4 linked regions of the Drosophila melanogaster genome follow. The protein of the gene in region 3 interacts with the protein of the main gene of each other region in a pairwise test. Each region holds a gene or a part of one and is shown on either strand. Other genes may lie near its edges. The genes, in order: Np, eIF2Bdelta, SkpC and RpS15Aa.

Region 1 (4,650 bases), on a different chromosome or scaffold from region 3:
CACGAAGAGTATGGCATCGAGCGAAAGGAAGTGCATCCCCATTACAATCCGGCAGACTTTGTAAATGACGTGGCTCTGATCCGCTTGGACAGGAATGTGGTCTACAAGCAGCACATCATACCCGTCTGTCTGCCTCCTTCCACCACCAAATTGACTGGTAAAATGGCCACTGTGGCTGGGTGGGGGCGAACCCGACACGGCCAGAGCACAGTTCCCTCCGTACTGCAGGAGGTGGACGTGGAGGTGATCTCGAATGATCGCTGTCAGCGATGGTTCCGGGCAGCGGGTCGCCGAGAGGCCATCCACGATGTGAGTAAACATTGGCATAGACTTAAGACCGGCATAGGTCTTCCCTTAAAAAAGATCTACATTGAGCAACTTCTTTTCGTCCAGGTCTTCTTGTGCGCAGGCTACAAGGATGGCGGCCGGGATTCGTGTCAGGGCGACAGTGGTGGTCCACTAACATTGACCATGGACGGTCGCAAGACCCTGATCGGATTGGTGTCCTGGGGCATTGGCTGTGGGAGGGAACACCTGCCCGGCGTCTATACGAACATCCAGCGTTTCGTGCCCTGGATCAACAAGGTTATGGCCAATGACAACGCGTAGGCGCCAACGCGCAGGTGTGCGTCCGCTGCGGAGATGCATGCCGTCAGCCAGGCCATGTGATTCCTCTACGACTCGGGGTTGCTAGTGTGTAAGACCGAGGTCCTTGGGGCCTTGTATTTATTTTATCATACTCCACATCCTAGGGTTCCTCGACTCAATCAGTCCAACCGTTCGATCCCTCCACCCTTCATTCGACTTCATTGCATTCCACGCATTCTATTTAAGTTTTCTATATTTATTAAACACTGTTCGAATAATTCCTACATTTGCGATCCACTTTCACTGACATCGTATTGATACCAATAATTATGTTTTAAAAATAAAAACAAAATGTACCAAAATACCATGGCTTTTTATTGACAAACGTCTGATGTGAACATCAAAGATAATTTTAATTACAACTTTTTAAAACTTTATAAAACCTGCATTAACTCGCTGAAATTCATGCAACAGAATTTAACTTTTACATTGCAATTTCCATTTGACGTGGTTCGCGTCTTGGGTAAATAAAAACAAGCTGCATACTTTCAGGCAGCATCTCAATCAATATACAGATGATGCACAAAGAACATGATTTCGAAATGGTTTGGAATCTGTGTTTATCTTGTTGGGCAAATAAGAAACAGAGGCAGCAAACATTAGCCAGAAATGCCAGAACAGGCACGAACATCAAACAGAGATATCTTCTGAGATAGCGCGGGAAATCCAAAACTGGGTCCATGGCCGTGCAACAGGTGCCACATGCTGAGCATGATCTGAATTTCTAATGAGCCCGACTTCCGCTGGCCACCAAGCAGTAACCAATGACCAGTATCATCGCTGGGCATCAAAACTCAATAACATAATCAGGGGGAGAAGAATCGAAAAGGAGCTTATCAGCAGCTCTCCTCTCTCACCAGGCCTCGCTCTTAGCATCCACATTGGCATCCACTTCTTCGGGCAATTGGCCAAAGAATCGGGGATCGCTTGGCTTTCCAGGCCTCAGTTGCTGTGGAGCAGCCCCAGTGTCAAGGTCTCTCGAGTTCAAGGAACGGCCAAAGACACGCGTCATCGCCAAGTCAGTCAGTGGTTGATAGTTAATTGTGCGTTTTGTTTTGCTTGCTTCATTAAACAGAGATGTTGTGAGGCGCGATTCTTGTGTGCTGTATAAATGTGTTTCTTTGGCAGTCTAAATGGCCTTTTCACAAGACCTAATGATGTGTGGATTAGAGCGTGTGATGGTCGCAGTACCTAAACAAAAGAAAAATTCCTACAATTTGTGCATTGATTAAAGGACAAAAGAAGCTAGAAGCCAGCTTTAATTTGTAGCAGAAGTTCAATATTTCCCTTCCTGAAATGAGCAAAGTGTTTTTCCCCAGAAGTGCTGCTCCTTAGAAGTTTCTTCCCATACGTTTCTCGGAAAACGTACTTAAAAGCCAAGGAAGTCACCATGCAATTCTTATCAGCCAACTGGTTTGCCTGTGAGAGCCGCAGCATAATAAAGATTGACTTTCTTAACCTGACGACGTGCATAAATTAAAAGACAAACAAACGGTGGCCCCCCACACTCACACACTCTCACACTCGCACAGGTGACAAAGAATGGCGAGCAGCAGCAAAAACACACTCATTTGCAACACAAAATATATATATTAAAAGAAAAAGCCACGATGTGTGCATGTGTGCGTGTGTGTGTTTGTGCTGTCTTCTGCTTCTTGCTATTTTAATGTGAAAGCGCTGTTAACCCCAAACTCCCCCCGCCACAACCGCCACCACCCCCCGCCAAACACCTTGTGCCGCCAATCAGCTGTGAGCCGCCTCAAAAAGAGAGAGGTGGCCAAAAGAGAGAGAGGTTCATTTGAATAAGAAACAGAAACAGAAACAGCGCCTAGCTTTTGGCCGTTCTCGGTGTTGGCCTTAATGAAAACCGTTATGCGCGTAGCGCAGTCGACGCCGACTGCACGCATGCGCACATGTTGGTGGTTTGGTTTTGGTTTTGGTTTTGGCTTTGACTTTAACTTTGAGCCGGAATGAGCGTGCGAGCGAGAGAGAGAGAATCAGCTAACTTACCAATTTCGTCTTACCAAGTTCTTCAGCTCTGCCGGCGTGGCCAAATCTCAGTCGCAGCGGGCAGCGGCAGCGACGGCAGCAGTGCCAGTGGCAGAGGCAGTGGCTTCACCTGGTTTGTGGATCTTTTGTGTGAGCTCCACACCGCAGACGTGCGCAACTTGTCGCGCTCTTAACTTGGTCTTCTGCTCGTCTTCCGTCTTCCGCGACTGTGTGTGTGTGTGCGAGTGCGTCTGTACTCGGGGACTTAGCGAGTGTGCGTGTGTGTGTGCGAGTGTGAGTGAAATAATTGGCCTGACCCAAAGTCCCGAGGCAAGTTCAAGTGCAAGAATACAAGCCAAAACCAAAGCAACGAAATCCCAACCGGGAAAGGAAACGAATCTCGGGAAACAAATTTTCCCAGGCGGCTAACAGTGCTTTGTGTGATCTTTTTTTGAAAGAAGCGAAAGGTAGAACTGCGGAAAAAGGCCGAGAGCCAGTGTCAAAAGTGAAGAAACTCATAAAACGAACGAGCCACAAACGTAAGAGTTATAATCACACTCATATGGTAACAGCGAATTAAATGAAATGACCCAAAATAGCTGGCAGCAGTGAACCGAAGCTCGACGTCAACTGGCAGCCAACGCAAGTAAATGCAAAAGATCCGAGACTCAGATACGCATCCGCCAGATACGCCGGCTCTTTTTTCCCCTGTGCCAGTGGTTGTGCCCAAAGTGCTTGTGCACTTTCTACCGCGTACAAGTCAATTAAGCGCCAACTCACTGCGGTCACAGAAACAGAAACAGCAACAGACTCAGATGCATGTGCTAAGATACAGATACAGATTCAGATACAGATACCGAGCAGCCGATAGATGCGCATAACTGCAACTAACTGCACCAGCAGAGGCTGCAAAACAAGAGCAGCCAGTTCAAGCGCCGCAAACACGGCCAAAGCTCGAAACGAGTCCAAAGCAAAAGTCGCTCCCTCCTCTGTAAATTTATTGAAATTCCTGTAAAATGCAAGCGAGCCAAAGCGGCGTGCCACAAGAGTTGGGGCACCAGCACCACCACCACCACCAACAGCAGGAGCAACAGCAGCTTAGTACAAGTGTTTCAATTGCGCTGCCACTGCCGACTGCTTCTGCTTTTCCCTCAGCGACCGAGAAAAGGCAATCTTAAGCAGAACTTTGCTTGCTCCAGCTTCCTTTGGCTCCTCGGCAAACGATTTTTGCTTTTCGGTTTAAAGAACTGGTCTGATTGTGGTTATGCCAATGGCAAGTCGTGGGTAACAGGGGTTAGATGGACTGGGAGTTAATTATATAAGGGATAGTTTTATTCAGTTAAAAGTATCATACAAGCTGAGATTGACCAAATACAAGTGATGCAGTTTTTATGTTCATTCAGGTTACTCTATGTTAGATTTTATATATTTTGTGATAAGTACCATAGGGTCGACCCCCCTGCGACAACCACACACGGCTCTTCCTTATTGTTGGAGGCCTGCCAGTCCGCCTGTCTTTGGTCTAAAACGCACTCGACAGCTGGGAGGGCGGTGGGGGGCATTGGAGGGGTGGAGCACGTTTGTCTTGCGGCCACAGATGATCTGTAGGCAGTAGGAAGCCTGTTGCGTTATTTGCATTTCACGTTCTGGGGCCGCTCTGGTTTATACAGGTTTGCCGGGCAGATCGCCTGTCAGGAGAAGTTGATGATGGGGTGATAGGATGAGGCTGCCTGCGTAGAGTAGCGCAAAATGGCTCGCCGTAATTATTGTAATTTGCATTCGGCATTTGCAATTGAGAAATTGCCGTTGATGGTTGTATTGAACCTGCAATGGCAGCTGCTGAAACAATTAGGCGGCCCTCAGCGGCAGGCGATGCGCACGCCTGCCCATCGAGTTTGTGCCCTAAGTCTTTCGTTTTGAGCTAATGAGCTGGGCTTAGCTGGACAGCCAGATGGGGACATGTGGCCAGAAGCGCCAAGCCGATGGGCCTTGGCAGCCCGCAGCTAAGTGGAC
Region 2 (5,038 bases), on a different chromosome or scaffold from region 3:
ACACGACAGTGGAAAGCCGGTGCCGGTGTGCCGGGGCTGCTTCCGGCAAATGCAAAAGCAAAGCCCGTAGAGGCAAGGCAGGCAGGATCGAGGAATGGAGCGGAGCTAGGGTGTGCAATCGATATGGAAACGCTATTAAATTTATTGTGTGTATTTATTGTTGCATTTGTAGACTTAGCTGCTTGTAGAAGCTCATTCAAGTTGTTGCAAATGGAAATCAAAAGAGCAAAACCAAATCAATCCACCAGCGATTGGCTTCCAGGCATCGTCCTAGTCTATAAGCCGGGCACAAAACTGTATTTTGTTATTAGAATCTAGAGCTACATATTTGCTAATCCCAGCCCCACCCGCACGGAAAGTACAATTGCATGTCAGAGCGCAGACTTGCTCTTGATCAAAATATTTATAATTTCCGAGGAACTCGGCGGTCTGCCGGATGTACAGACACTTGGGCCTAGCCCTCCTTCGCAGCAGCGGTCCCTGGCATCAAGCATATTCCACTAGCATACCCGTAAATTATGAACTACGCATCAATCTTGTTTGTCGATTTGATCAAAGTGTAATAAAACTTATTTATTCAACAACTGCGAGTTCTACTGAGCGATCGATGAAGTCTGATTAGTAGCCAATGTCTGGCTTGATGCGGAGTATGACGGGAACACTGGTGCAGGGCAGGATGGCCACCTCGGTGACCACGGCACTCACCAGCTCCGGCGGAGTAATGTCGTAGCTCAGGTTGAGCGGCAACAGCTTTCCCTTGGCCGCCCAGTTGCTTAGCTGGCACTTGTCGCCGCGCACCAGTTGGTTGGGATCGCTCAGCTCGTTGTAGACGATGGCGTCCGTCTGGAAGCGCTCGCTGAACTTGTGCGTCTCGCAGCACACGAGCACCGGCACGTTGTGGGCATTGGCCACCAGGGCCACCTGGGCGGTGCCCGTTCGCGCCATCACGTATCCGTTGGCCAGCAGGGCGTGTGCTCCCAGCAGCACCTTCGTGGCCTCCGCCATCACATAGCCCACGGCGTTGATCAGCACGTAGGTGCACGGGATTCCGGTGGCGTGCAGTCGGCGCAGCAGCTCCTGGCCTTCGCATCCGGGTCGCGAATCGACGACAATCACGCGGAAGGCCACCTGGCGCCGCTTGGCCTCCTCGCAGATGAACTGAATGAGGGAGGAACAGGCGAAGGTCAGCAGCACGTCGCCATCGGTGATCTTTTCCTGCAGAAAACCGCTGATCGCTTGGGCCGCCTTGCCGATTTGATTTTCAATGTAAGTATCGATGAAGTGGACGAGCAGCTCCTTCGACTGTTGAGCAAATGCATGTTACCAATTGAGTTAAAAAAATATATTTTGATTCTTACCTCCGTTTCGGGAACATCCGCCGGCAGCTGTGTCAGTTGGTTCTTGAATTGTTTGTACGCATTGGACACGGACACGGCCAGCGGTCGGCACTTGTGCAGGTGGTCTACGTGGTGCTTCACGGCGGCGTCCAGGCTGCGACCAAACTCCTTCTTGGCGGGCGTCTCAAAGTCGTGGACAACCTGGCGCAGGGCGTGCAGGAAGGCAATGCATCGAGCATTGGACCCCACCACCGTGCGCTTGGCGTACTGAACACCCAAGCGCGCAATGCTCGGATGAACGAGTGGATCGTTGATGAACTGGCTGTCTTCCTTGGCGCACACCAGATGGTTGAACAGCTTCACCCGGCAGTCTACATTGGGCGTGCTGGCTGGACATTTGACGGGGGAACTGCTGGTGGCCGCTGTGGTGGGGGAAACGCTCTTCCGGTTCGGCCCTTTGGGAGCTGCGCTGGGTGGTGCCTTGGCTGCATGCTGGGCCTTTTTAGTCTGTACCTGGGCCTTGGCTGCCCGTTGGGCTTCTTGGATAGCGCGACGCTCCGCTTTGCTAAGAGCTGGCTTTTTCTGTGCAAGGTGAGGTGAGATGTATATGAAGCAAGGAAATCATAAATGTAGCAAGTTACCTTTTCCTGGTCCGCTTCTGTTGTCGAAGGTGCAGCACTGGCTGCGACTGGAGCTTTTTCTGCTACTTTCAGGTCAGCGAGCTGTTGTGCGATGCCCTCTACCTTGGCTCCCCCGCCTTTGCCAGCTTTCTTGGCTGCCTTCTTGGCCTCGCGTTCCGCCTTGATCTGCTCGCGTGTCTTTTCACCCGCCTCCGCATCCTTGCCATTTACCGCAGCTGGCTGAGTCGTCTTTGAAGCCACTGCATCCTGCACCTTTGTTGTGGTGGTGGTCGTCAGCTTAGTGGTAATGGTGGTCTGCTCCACTTCAGTGATGATTTTGGTGGCCGGAGCAGAGGGAGTGGTCAGAACAGCAGGAGTGGCGGCAGTAGGAGTCGGTGCAGTTTTCTGTTTCTTGGCCTGCTTAGCCAGCTTCTTCGCCTCCCGCTCGGCCATTATCTGGTCACGAGTCTTCTCCGTGGCCAATGGATCCACAGCATTTCCGGGCATTGCACTCGTGGCGTCGATGGCTGATGTTTCTTGTGTCGTTGAATGGCTGTCTTCCAGGCGATTTCGTTTGTTGCGCGGTCGATTGCGTTGCCTTTGCTTCTTGTGCTTGCTCTTCAAAGTCTGGGCGTCAGTCCCAGTCCAGATAGGGAGTACGGAATTAGTTATTGATGTAACAATATGTAAAACTATCAAACTGTTTGGATCAAATACGAAATCAAATCGGCCGACATGCTAAATCAAAACTAAATTTGGGAAACTCGCTACTTGGCAAATTAGTTACTAAGAGGCAAGCTAGCTACCTGTGGCACCTGTTCGCTAGTTAAAACCATTTTGAAAGCTTGAAAAGAGAGAGACATGGCAATTAAGGTGAAAAAGGATGTGAAAAGGTTAAAAAAGGTTCAGACTCCTGTGGCGGTGCAATTAAGATCCAAGCTGAATCCTGCGTCTATGGGTAAGCACGAATGCTGGCTTATAGCACCTAAGCAGTGTGCTTGCTGTCTTTACCTTACGATTCTATATTATTATTCGGGAAAAGTAACTCGAAAGTTTTGCTCACGATGGCAAAAAAACGTCCACCAGTTGATAGCGATGTAAGTGAATCGATAACCGTCTTGATTCGCCGCGGTAAACACATGGCCGGCCTTGCCAGACTCGCTAGCAGCCAGTGTCATTTTTGGTGCTTTCCTCGCCGCACGAGTTGGCATTCCCATAGCTGTCTTTTATTTGTGAGGTTCGTATGTTCGTCTGCCGCCTCCGAAAATTACATAATTTTTGCGTAAATTGATTTCGTTTAATTCGACCCTCCACAGCTGCGAATTCCACGACTACCATGGCCGACAAAGCTGCTGCCGAGAAACCCGCTGGACGCCCCATGCGCTACCCATACACTTTCTCCGCGAAGATAGCCCAATTCCCCATCAAGCACTACATCAAGAACCAATGGATCTGGCGCTACTACTTCATTGCGGCCGTGGCCTGCGTGCCCGTGTTCTACAAGATCAGCAAGCTGGGTGCGTAACACTCGCCTCGCGACCTCTGGGCCCCTTGTACTAATGCACTTCTCCCTCCTGCCCATTTTCAGCCAACTCGCCCGAGAACAAGAAGGCATGGGCCGAATCGCAGGCCAAGGAGCACGCCGAGCACCACTAGGCGGCCAGTAACTTAGTCTTAATTGTCGCATCAACATTTCAGAGCTGTTTGTGTCGGACCCAACGTGAAATCGGCGAATAAATGATTTGAAACGAGGTTAAACTTGATTCTTATTGGAGAGTGCACTGCAACATCCAAATACGGTCTTATTATGCGGCTATGACACCACCTATGAGTTGAGTTCGGTCACACTAATGATTTGTTATATGAAACACAAATTAAGTTGCTTGTTACTATTAAAATTCATAACTAGCAGCATTTAATTGGATTTATTAAAGAATAGATTAAATTATATTCCACAACTGATCGCGATGAATATTCGTTTACCCAGATAACTGCATTTCGAAGGGTTAATCGAGAAGCTAAGCAGGAAAAATATTCAAGTTCAAATTTGTATAAGTAGTTGGCGCAAGACAAAGCATCACAGGGGTCTAATTTTTGGTAGTGAGTTGGAATTTCCCCAGATTCGTAAATAAAATAAAAATAAAAAAGTACTGAGAGCACTCATTAAAACAAAACACTGATTCCTATCATATCCGTTTCCGTTGACGGTCATAAAGAGTGTACTGTTATCAGCTGGTCAACATAAAATTCCTCAAAAATTACCTCAAACTCGACTAAGCTTGCCAGTCGCTCCATTACCGCGAAAAGATGAAGTTCATCGCAGCTGGATTAGCTCTTCTGGTCTGCTCCATCCAGTTGGGTGAAGGAGCACCTGGTCACCTGCTAGACTCCAGTTGTGGCACGACAAAACCAGAATTTATCCCAATGATCACCGGGGGCGCAGACGCAGGCCTATTCTCAAATCCATGGATGGTGAAGGTGCTAGGCGAGAAACTATGTGGTGGCTCGCTAATCACCAGTCGTAAGTATTCAAATGTGGCCCACGAATGAGTTCTTTGTCCAGTCACCTGCTGCTAATACTTTCAGGCTTCGTTCTCACGGCCGCCCATTGCATCGTTAGTACACACATGTAAGTGAGGCAGCACTGTCTTTCGGCGAACACTTACGAATTCCCATTTCCACAGGAGAGTACGCTTGGGCGAGTATAAAACCCGCTTTCCTGGCAAGGATTGCTCGCGCTGCGTGCCCAAGTCATATAAACTCAGGAGAATACGCTTGGGCGAGTATGACACCCGCTTTCCTGGCAAGGATTGCTGCGTGCCCAAGTCATATGAACTCGCTGTGGATAGAAAGATTTTGCATGCGGATTATAACCTAAACTTGGACAACGACATCGGCCTGTTGCGCATGAAGAGCTTCGTCCAGTACTCAGGTAATGAGGTGGATCCAGCAGCCAGGGCTCCCTAAGCAGTGGACATATCTTTCAGACTACGTCCGGCCGATCTGTCTCCTGGTCGAGGGACACATGGCGGAAAGTCCCATCTTCAACATCACCGGCTGGGGTGTCACCAACGATGGCAC
Region 3 (2,901 bases):
TGTGTGGGCAGCAACTTAACTTACAATAAAGGACATTGCCCAGCCTCCTGCCACCCACCACCCGCCTCCCCACCCCGCAACGGTATGTAAAGTGCGTAAGTTGTGTCCAAGGGTTTGGAATACGAGGATTGGGACCCTGGGCTTGGGTTCATTTGGGGGTTTTCTGCACTATTTTACATACGTAATGCGAACTTCATGGATGCAGAGCTCATAAGCGCCAACGGCCAAGGCTTTTGGAAATTAGCGTGGCTGCCAAATCAGGAACCGGCTTAAGGAGCACCAGGATTCCGGGATTGGGGTGCTATGGAGTGGAGTGGGTCGGTGTGTGGTGTGGTGTGTGGTGTGTGCTTGTATCCCCGGGCGGCTTGGTGGCAATCAACTGGGAATAGAGCCAGAGCACTCCTTTAGCCCAAGCGAACATGAAACGATTTAAAAAGTTATGTTTTATGTGTTCTTGTTGCCAAAGTAAACTGTAAACTGAATATGTTGATAAAATACAATAGATATGCTTTCAAAAATACTCGTAATATCATATTTATTCTGGTGAAACAAATAAGTTCTCAACAAAGGAAGGTTCCAGGTGTCCCAACCGGATTTGCTCCGAAAGAGACTGTGCCTCACAGGTCTTCGCCCAACTGGGCCGTCCTGCTCGGTATTTCGTCCGGGATGTTGAACGTGTGGCGGATCTCCTCGGGAGTCTTTCCCCTAATCATATTGGCCACCGTCTTGCAACAGAGATCCACTAGGCCCTTGATCTCCAGATAGTTGGCGGCCAGTATGATTTCGAACAAGGTGGGTTGATCGACGTTAATAAAGTTGGCGTCCCAGGCTGAGATGTCATGTGGGCTTTGCGGGCTCAACTCCACGCCCTCCGCTCCATGGGCATCATCGTCCTTGTGGTGATAGATCCAGGTCAGAATCTTGGATAGGATGAACGCGTTCACCTTGGGCAGCGGCACAATGGCATTCTCGTCGTTCTCCACGGCAGAGACCTCCAACATGGTCTTGATGGTTTCGGAGAGCTTGGCGGCTCGGACTTCCGTTGAAAAGATCATCCCATCCGAGGACTCAAGCTTGATGGTGGGAGCATCCATTTTCGGTTTGCCTTGCCTTTCTATTTGCCAAACTACGTTCAAAGAGATTCAGAAGAACAAGATGGGATGATTGATAGAGCACGTGCCAACTGGACGATTCGAAAGTTCAAAGAAAAAAGAATAGAGAACAGAGTGACCAGATGTGATCACTGCGGAATCACTGTCGTCAAGTGTGTACACACTAGAAATTGGAAGTCTTAACATTAAGAACTGTAGATTCGCTTTAGCTTTTTTATTGAGAATCGCGAATCGTGTTTTATTTATCATATCAGACCTTAAAAGTGTAATAAAAAAAAGTGTAATATGAATTTTAAAACCTATATGAATGTTGGGTAAGTGCTCAATCAAAAAATTTCAAAATAATAGTTCCGGAAAGAACCCCGTAAAAAATATTTTTAACAGAGGGAACTGGAAAATAGCACGTGGGCTTACATTACTTGCTCTAATTTTTCAAAAAAACTTTAAATTAAATATATATTTTTTCATTTGAAAAACAGACGGACAGAAGGCACTTTCTACCTGTTACATACTCATTAGCGATTCTAACATTCCCTTTTACTGTATTATTATTGTTTTATGAAACACTCCAATTATGTGTAACTTGCTTTCCATAAAATATATACACTTAACAGAATCAAAATTTTCAGTTACCGTAAAACTGTATTTTGAACCGAGTTCCAAAATAATATATTAATATTAAATCCAAGATACAAAGAAGAATTTCGATTTGCTAGCTTTAGTACTTAATTACGTACTTAATACGAGGATGAGGATGCAATTCGGCCAAAAAAGTGTCCGTTTTGGATAGCAAAAACAAAGTGCGAAAATACCATTATTCGAGTGAGTTTTCCTAGCCGCCAAACGGAACGCGATTTAAGTTTTTTTTTTTGTGTGCCAGTTGACGCAAAGGCTCTAACCTATTAGGCGGTCAGCAAAAAAATGAACTCGAGTCATGCCGTCTTGTGGAGCACCCTTTTCGAGCCGTCCCGGGGATCACCCCTTCCCATCGATTGACAGCAGCCGCACATAAACCAAAACCCTAAGATTTGTATTTAATTTAAATGCTTAAAAGATATATTAATTAAAAAAAGTGAGCATGTGGACAAGAATAATTTTAGGGTTAGAAGACATGAATACAGAGGGAGAAGTTTCTGCTGAAGTAAACATATTGATAAATTCTATCGGACCTAAACCTATACTTGCGTGAAAGATATCAAACTGCGAATGTACACTGAGAGAAATTTTCTGAATAATTATATCCGCAAATATTTGAATTATTCGCAATAATTCCTTTAAATGTGAACCCAAGGAGGAGACTTATTTTATATTACTTTTGTATTTTTAATTTTTATTTAATTTGCCACGCCCACAAACCGCACAAAACTGCCACGCCCACACTTTCGAAAAACGTGTTGATATTATTTCAAATTTTTATTAGTCTCGTAAATTTCTATTGATAAAAACAAAAATTTTGCCACACCCACTCGAACGCCCTAAAACCGCCCAACCGGTCACGCCCACACTTTGGAATAATTTTTTAAAATTTTTATAATTTTTTTTTATATCTATCGATTTTTCTGAGTAACGGGTATCTGATAGTCGGGGAACTCGACTATAGCATTCTCTCTTGTTTTTCCCAAAGTTGAACAAATTCTATACAGATTAACGCGACAAATGAATACACTGAGAACAATTGCTTGAACCCTAATTATATTGCTAGACTATAAGCTATTAAATATTAATTAAAATCTAACCGACCTTACCCGCAACCCACTCACTTACATTTAATTTTTACTGATTAAAGAAA
Region 4 (4,316 bases), 6.5 Mb from region 3:
CGTTCATAAAAAACCTAGTACTCCCTAGGGATAACTTGAGATAACATCAAATTTGACTCATCGAGTGAATACACTTTATCATAATTAAAACAAATTTTTACTCAAAAATTGCAGCAGTTATCTACAGCATAAATTCGGAACTTGTGCTGGAAAACAGTTGAAAACCTGAAGAAGCATGTAAATGTACGTTTTACATGTACATTTTGTTCTATAGAAACTACAACAAATTCTAACAAGCATTATTTGCTTCATAAACAATTTTTGACAGTAATTGAGGTTTTCTTGGTGAAGAAGTTCTAACAAATAATAAGAAACCTAGGTGGGAATACCAAAACTATGATGGTCTAATCATTTTTGGCTTTAAGGTGTCAAGAGTGGGAACAATTGGCCCTTACTTTCATTATGGAAAGCACGTAACCGTGTTTTAAGCACCTCAAAAGAAACCGCATGGCGCGTTCTTAACATCCTAATTGTCTTGATTTCAGCCATAAAATTGACAATATCCAGCTATAAGTAACTCCGGTCGAGGTTATATTATACACAAATTGGGTTTTATGTTAACAGATCGTTTTACTGTCGCTATTGATTTATCACTGTACCGCTTAACATAGTATATGGATCGTAGACAAAATCGTTATTAAAATTATTATGTATCAATCATTTTATTTCGCGTAACTTTGTGAACATTCATCGTCGTTTGTTTTCTGAATGAACGTAGCAGCGTTTTCGCCCCTTGTTTCCTGTGCACAAAGTACATAGTTGGTTGCATGGTCGGTGAAATAAAACGTCAATCTACATATCAAACTCCTTAGCAGCACATACAGACTCTCTACGATGCGAACTTGGTTTCTCTAGAAGAAGAAGCCGAGAATTTTGCCTCCCAAATGTTTTCTCCTAGCCTCCTCGTGGTCCATGATGCCGCCAGAGGTGGTGAGCACAACGTAACCAAACTGACGCGAGGGCAACAGATTGTTGGTCCATTTCTCGATGTCGTTGATGGGCACATCGAAGCGGGGCGAGATGACGCCGCACTTGTTTAGCCTACCGGTCAGGTTGACAACGATCTTGCCGGAACGATGATCGTCGACGATCTCGAATTCGCCGATATAGCCATGCTTCATCATCACGGTCAGGAACTTGATGATCACCTTGGAGCAGGGACGCAGCAGCACCTGCCGCTTGCCACGCTTCTCGGCGTTGTTTATGCACTTCAAGGCATCGGCCAATACGTTCATACGCACCATGGCTGCAAAATGTTCGGGAACACAATTAGTCAAGAGGCAATAATCACAGAAAAAAAAAGATGATGTCTTGGGCTTTAATCGAAAGTGCAGACTTTGCCACCCCCATTGCTCTATAAAATCAGTCTACAAAACCAAGCAAAACGTGCTCAGAGCCTACTAAAAAAAAGTATCTCACTAAATTGCATATAACTACTATATAAGTAGTACTATGAGGTTGGCTAACAAAGCTTAAGCCCTATTAAATGAAAAACTAACTTGAAAAGTACGTAAAACTATGTGTACTACAAGAACAGATCAATTGACCACCTAAACAAAACATATCAACTTATGGAGCCTATACAAGTGTGGCATATGACTTATTGGAAAAAGGTTTCCCTAACACATATGAACCATTATGAGCATAATAAAGTATTCAATAAAAGTGGCTACTATTATAATACTCTAGATTTCTGGAGGGCAGGAGGCGTGGCGCCTTTTCGGAAATTCACGCGGACAGACGACGAATCGTTTTTTAATATTGATTATGATTTTTAACAGTTTTTTACTTCACTTTTTAAATCAGCGAGGAACGGAACATTGAATAAAAAAAGAAGCAGAAACAGCAAGTAAAACACGTGCAAAATAGCAAAGAAAAAAAAATGATACTGTCTGTGTTTCTGCGGCTGTGTGTGTGTGCGTACAAGTGGCTGTAAACAACAACTATTTCGGGTAAGTTTACCAACTAAACTGCGTAAAAATTTGTTTAATTTAGCCGGTTTTCGGTCGTGCATTCGATTCAACTGAATGCCCAACTTTTTGCCACAATTTAAAGCCGCTCACACCCACCCACACATGCACAACAACACTGTGCCACACACTTTGGCCAATTTTTCACTTCATATTCGTTTGCACATTAAAAAAATTATAACCAAAAAAATACATATATATAGCGCATGTAGCGAGGCATTTCATGCATTGTTTACACGGTAAACTGATCAGTTTTGGCACATTGGCCCACAGTAAAAAAAAATGGGTAATAAAAAAAACGGAGTTGGGTGGATTTGCACATGTTTCGGCCGGCGATCGCCGCCAATCTAATCTGGCTGAATTTTCGCGCTTAAAACGGGTCCAATGGAAGCGGCATTTACCTGGATTTGTTTGCAAAAACTGTTTTACACGACCGCTGCAAATAGAGGAAATAAAAGAGAGTTAAATACAATTTTGTTGAACAAAACTCGGAGTACACGTACTCACGCAAACGTGAAAAAGGGAAAAGAAAGGGAAACGGAAGGAAAAAGACGCAGAACAGTGTGGCCGCGTTTGTCGAATGTGTCTACGCTCAACGTGCCTATCGATAGTTAGCCGGACGCAGGCCGCGGTTGCTGGCTTGACTAAAATCGCTTCCAATTATTTGGAGCCCAACTGCCACTATGCATGTGAATAGACTTGAACGGCTTCAGAAGTAATCTTTGATATTTCTCTGATCCCCCCGAGCATCATGATCCCGTCTATATTTTTCTGCGTAGCCAGACTAAGGACCGATGTTTCCATTGGCGTAAAAAAATAAATAAAAAAAAAACAGCAGGCCTTAAGTGATAATTAAACGCTTTATTAACATAACAATTTATTTATATTTAAATTTATTTTAATTTGTTTCAATATTTCGCCATATTTGTATGTGTATTTTACGTCTCTAGAGTTGCACTAACATGATTTCAAGGGGTAAGAGCCTTGGTTTGGCAATAAAACAGAAAATAAAGTAATGATTGGTCCATTGAAACACAATTAAATACAAGTTGATTAAAGCACAAGTTTTAAAGTAGTTTCACATTGAAATAACGAATTTTGTGATACTATCCGTGTTTCAAACTATTATCTTAATACTATCGAATGGTCCTCCTATCGATATACAACGGTTCTTTTAGCCGGTAAAGCGTTGCTGTCAGCAGTTTTGCACCATTGAGGGATTTTTGTGGTCGCTTCAGACGGTCATACTAATTATTCATAAATAAACAAGAATGGCAAAACAGTAAGTAATTTGTTAAAAATAAACAATTTGAGCAGTTTTTTAAGGACCCGTTTCAACACCGTGCAGATATGGCCTTATTTTACCCGGCCAACAGAAGAAAGTACCTCTAAAACGAGTCGAAAGGCCCTCCATCTTCGACGAGAACAGCGACTCCGAGACCGATGATGACCCAGCTGCTCCTCAATTTCAGCCAAGAACCGGCGGCGTATCCATGGGTCCTAGTCTAATGGAACGCCGCGTGGCCCGCCGGCAGCAGGAGAAGGCCCTGGCCGAGGATCCAACCATATTCCAGTACGACGAGCTGTACGATGACATGGACAGCAAACGCGAGGAGGCCAAGCAGACGAAGAGCCAGGAGCCGCGGAAACCAAAGTACATTGGCCGGCTGATGGAGCATGCCGAGCGCAGAAAGCTGGAGAAGGAGCTGCGCATCGAACGGCAGGTGCAGAAGGATCGCGAAGCCGAGGGCGAGATGTATAAGGACAAGGACACCTACGTGACTGCCGCCTACCGCAAGAAGCTCGAGTCCATACGCCAGATGCAGGAGCAGGAGCAGCGTGATGAGTACCTCGAGGCCATTGGCGATGTGACCAAGCAAAAGGATCTGGACGGCTTCTATCGCCATCTATACGAACAAAAGTTGGGCGGTCCCGCCCAGCAGGATGTCGTCAAGCCAAAGACGGCGCCCACCACCGACGAGGTGGCATACAAACCCATTAAGGCAGAGGCTGTCAAGCATCGAAGCTATCGGCGACGTCGCCCCTCCGAGGATGAAGAGGAGCAGACTAAGAGCAAATCAGACGCAGCCTCGGACGCCACGAAGTCAACGGATCAAACGGAAAGCATACCAGCGCAGGCACATTTGACCAACAACATAGATGCCGATTCTGATTTTAGCATAGACGACTCCAGCGATGAAGAAGACGAGAAGGAGAATGAGAAGGAAAAGAATAAGCTGTCCCAGATCAAAAAGGAGGATAAGGACAAGGCTCCGGAAAGTTCAGAGCCCGTTAAACCCAAAGAACCCGAGGCCTCGCAACAATCCCCCACCAAAAAGGATGATT

Evidence for each region.
Region 1: the proteins of SkpC (region 3) and Np interact in a two-hybrid assay, tested with the Drosophila melanogaster proteins (one large-scale study listed by BioGRID).
Region 2: the proteins of SkpC (region 3) and eIF2Bdelta interact in a two-hybrid assay, tested with the Drosophila melanogaster proteins (one large-scale study listed by BioGRID).
Region 4: the proteins of SkpC (region 3) and RpS15Aa interact in a two-hybrid assay, tested with the Drosophila melanogaster proteins (one large-scale study listed by BioGRID).

The regions. Positions count from the first base shown.
Region 1 is NT_033778.4:9,003,530-9,008,179, reverse strand, and holds the start of Np (notopleural), read left to right. Parts: upstream 1-1,592; 5' UTR 1,593-1,691; intron 1,692-2,803; exon of another isoform or gene 2,804-3,176; intron 3,177-4,650. Other genes in the region: CG8172 (uncharacterized protein), read left to right, coding at 1-309, 394-609.
Region 2 is NT_033778.4:23,384,553-23,389,590, reverse strand, and holds eIF2Bdelta (eukaryotic translation initiation factor 2B subunit delta), read right to left. Parts: upstream 3,071-5,038; 5' UTR 2,969-3,070; intron 2,802-2,968; 5' UTR 2,794-2,801; coding exon 2,764-2,793; intron 2,688-2,763; exon of another isoform or gene 2,585-2,687; coding exon 1,979-2,584; intron 1,920-1,978; coding exon 1,359-1,919; intron 1,303-1,358; coding exon 619-1,302; 3' UTR 539-618; downstream 1-538. Other genes in the region: Mtmr6 (myotubularin related protein 6), read left to right, coding at 1-70; roh (reduction of Rh1), read left to right, coding at 3,294-3,474, 3,546-3,613; CG30414 (uncharacterized protein), read left to right, coding at 4,265-4,478, 4,544-4,586, 4,642-4,889, 4,945-5,038.
Region 3 is NC_004354.4:19,814,331-19,817,231, reverse strand, and holds SkpC (SKP1-related C), read right to left. Parts: upstream 1,161-2,901; 5' UTR 1,095-1,160; coding exon 618-1,094; 3' UTR 532-617; downstream 1-531.
Region 4 is NC_004354.4:13,335,134-13,339,449, forward strand, and holds RpS15Aa (ribosomal protein S15Aa), read right to left. Parts: upstream 2,506-4,316; 5' UTR 2,372-2,505; intron 1,247-2,371; 5' UTR 1,245-1,246; coding exon 852-1,244; 3' UTR 504-851; downstream 1-503. Other genes in the region: CG15747 (uncharacterized protein), read left to right, coding at 3,242-3,252, 3,319-4,316.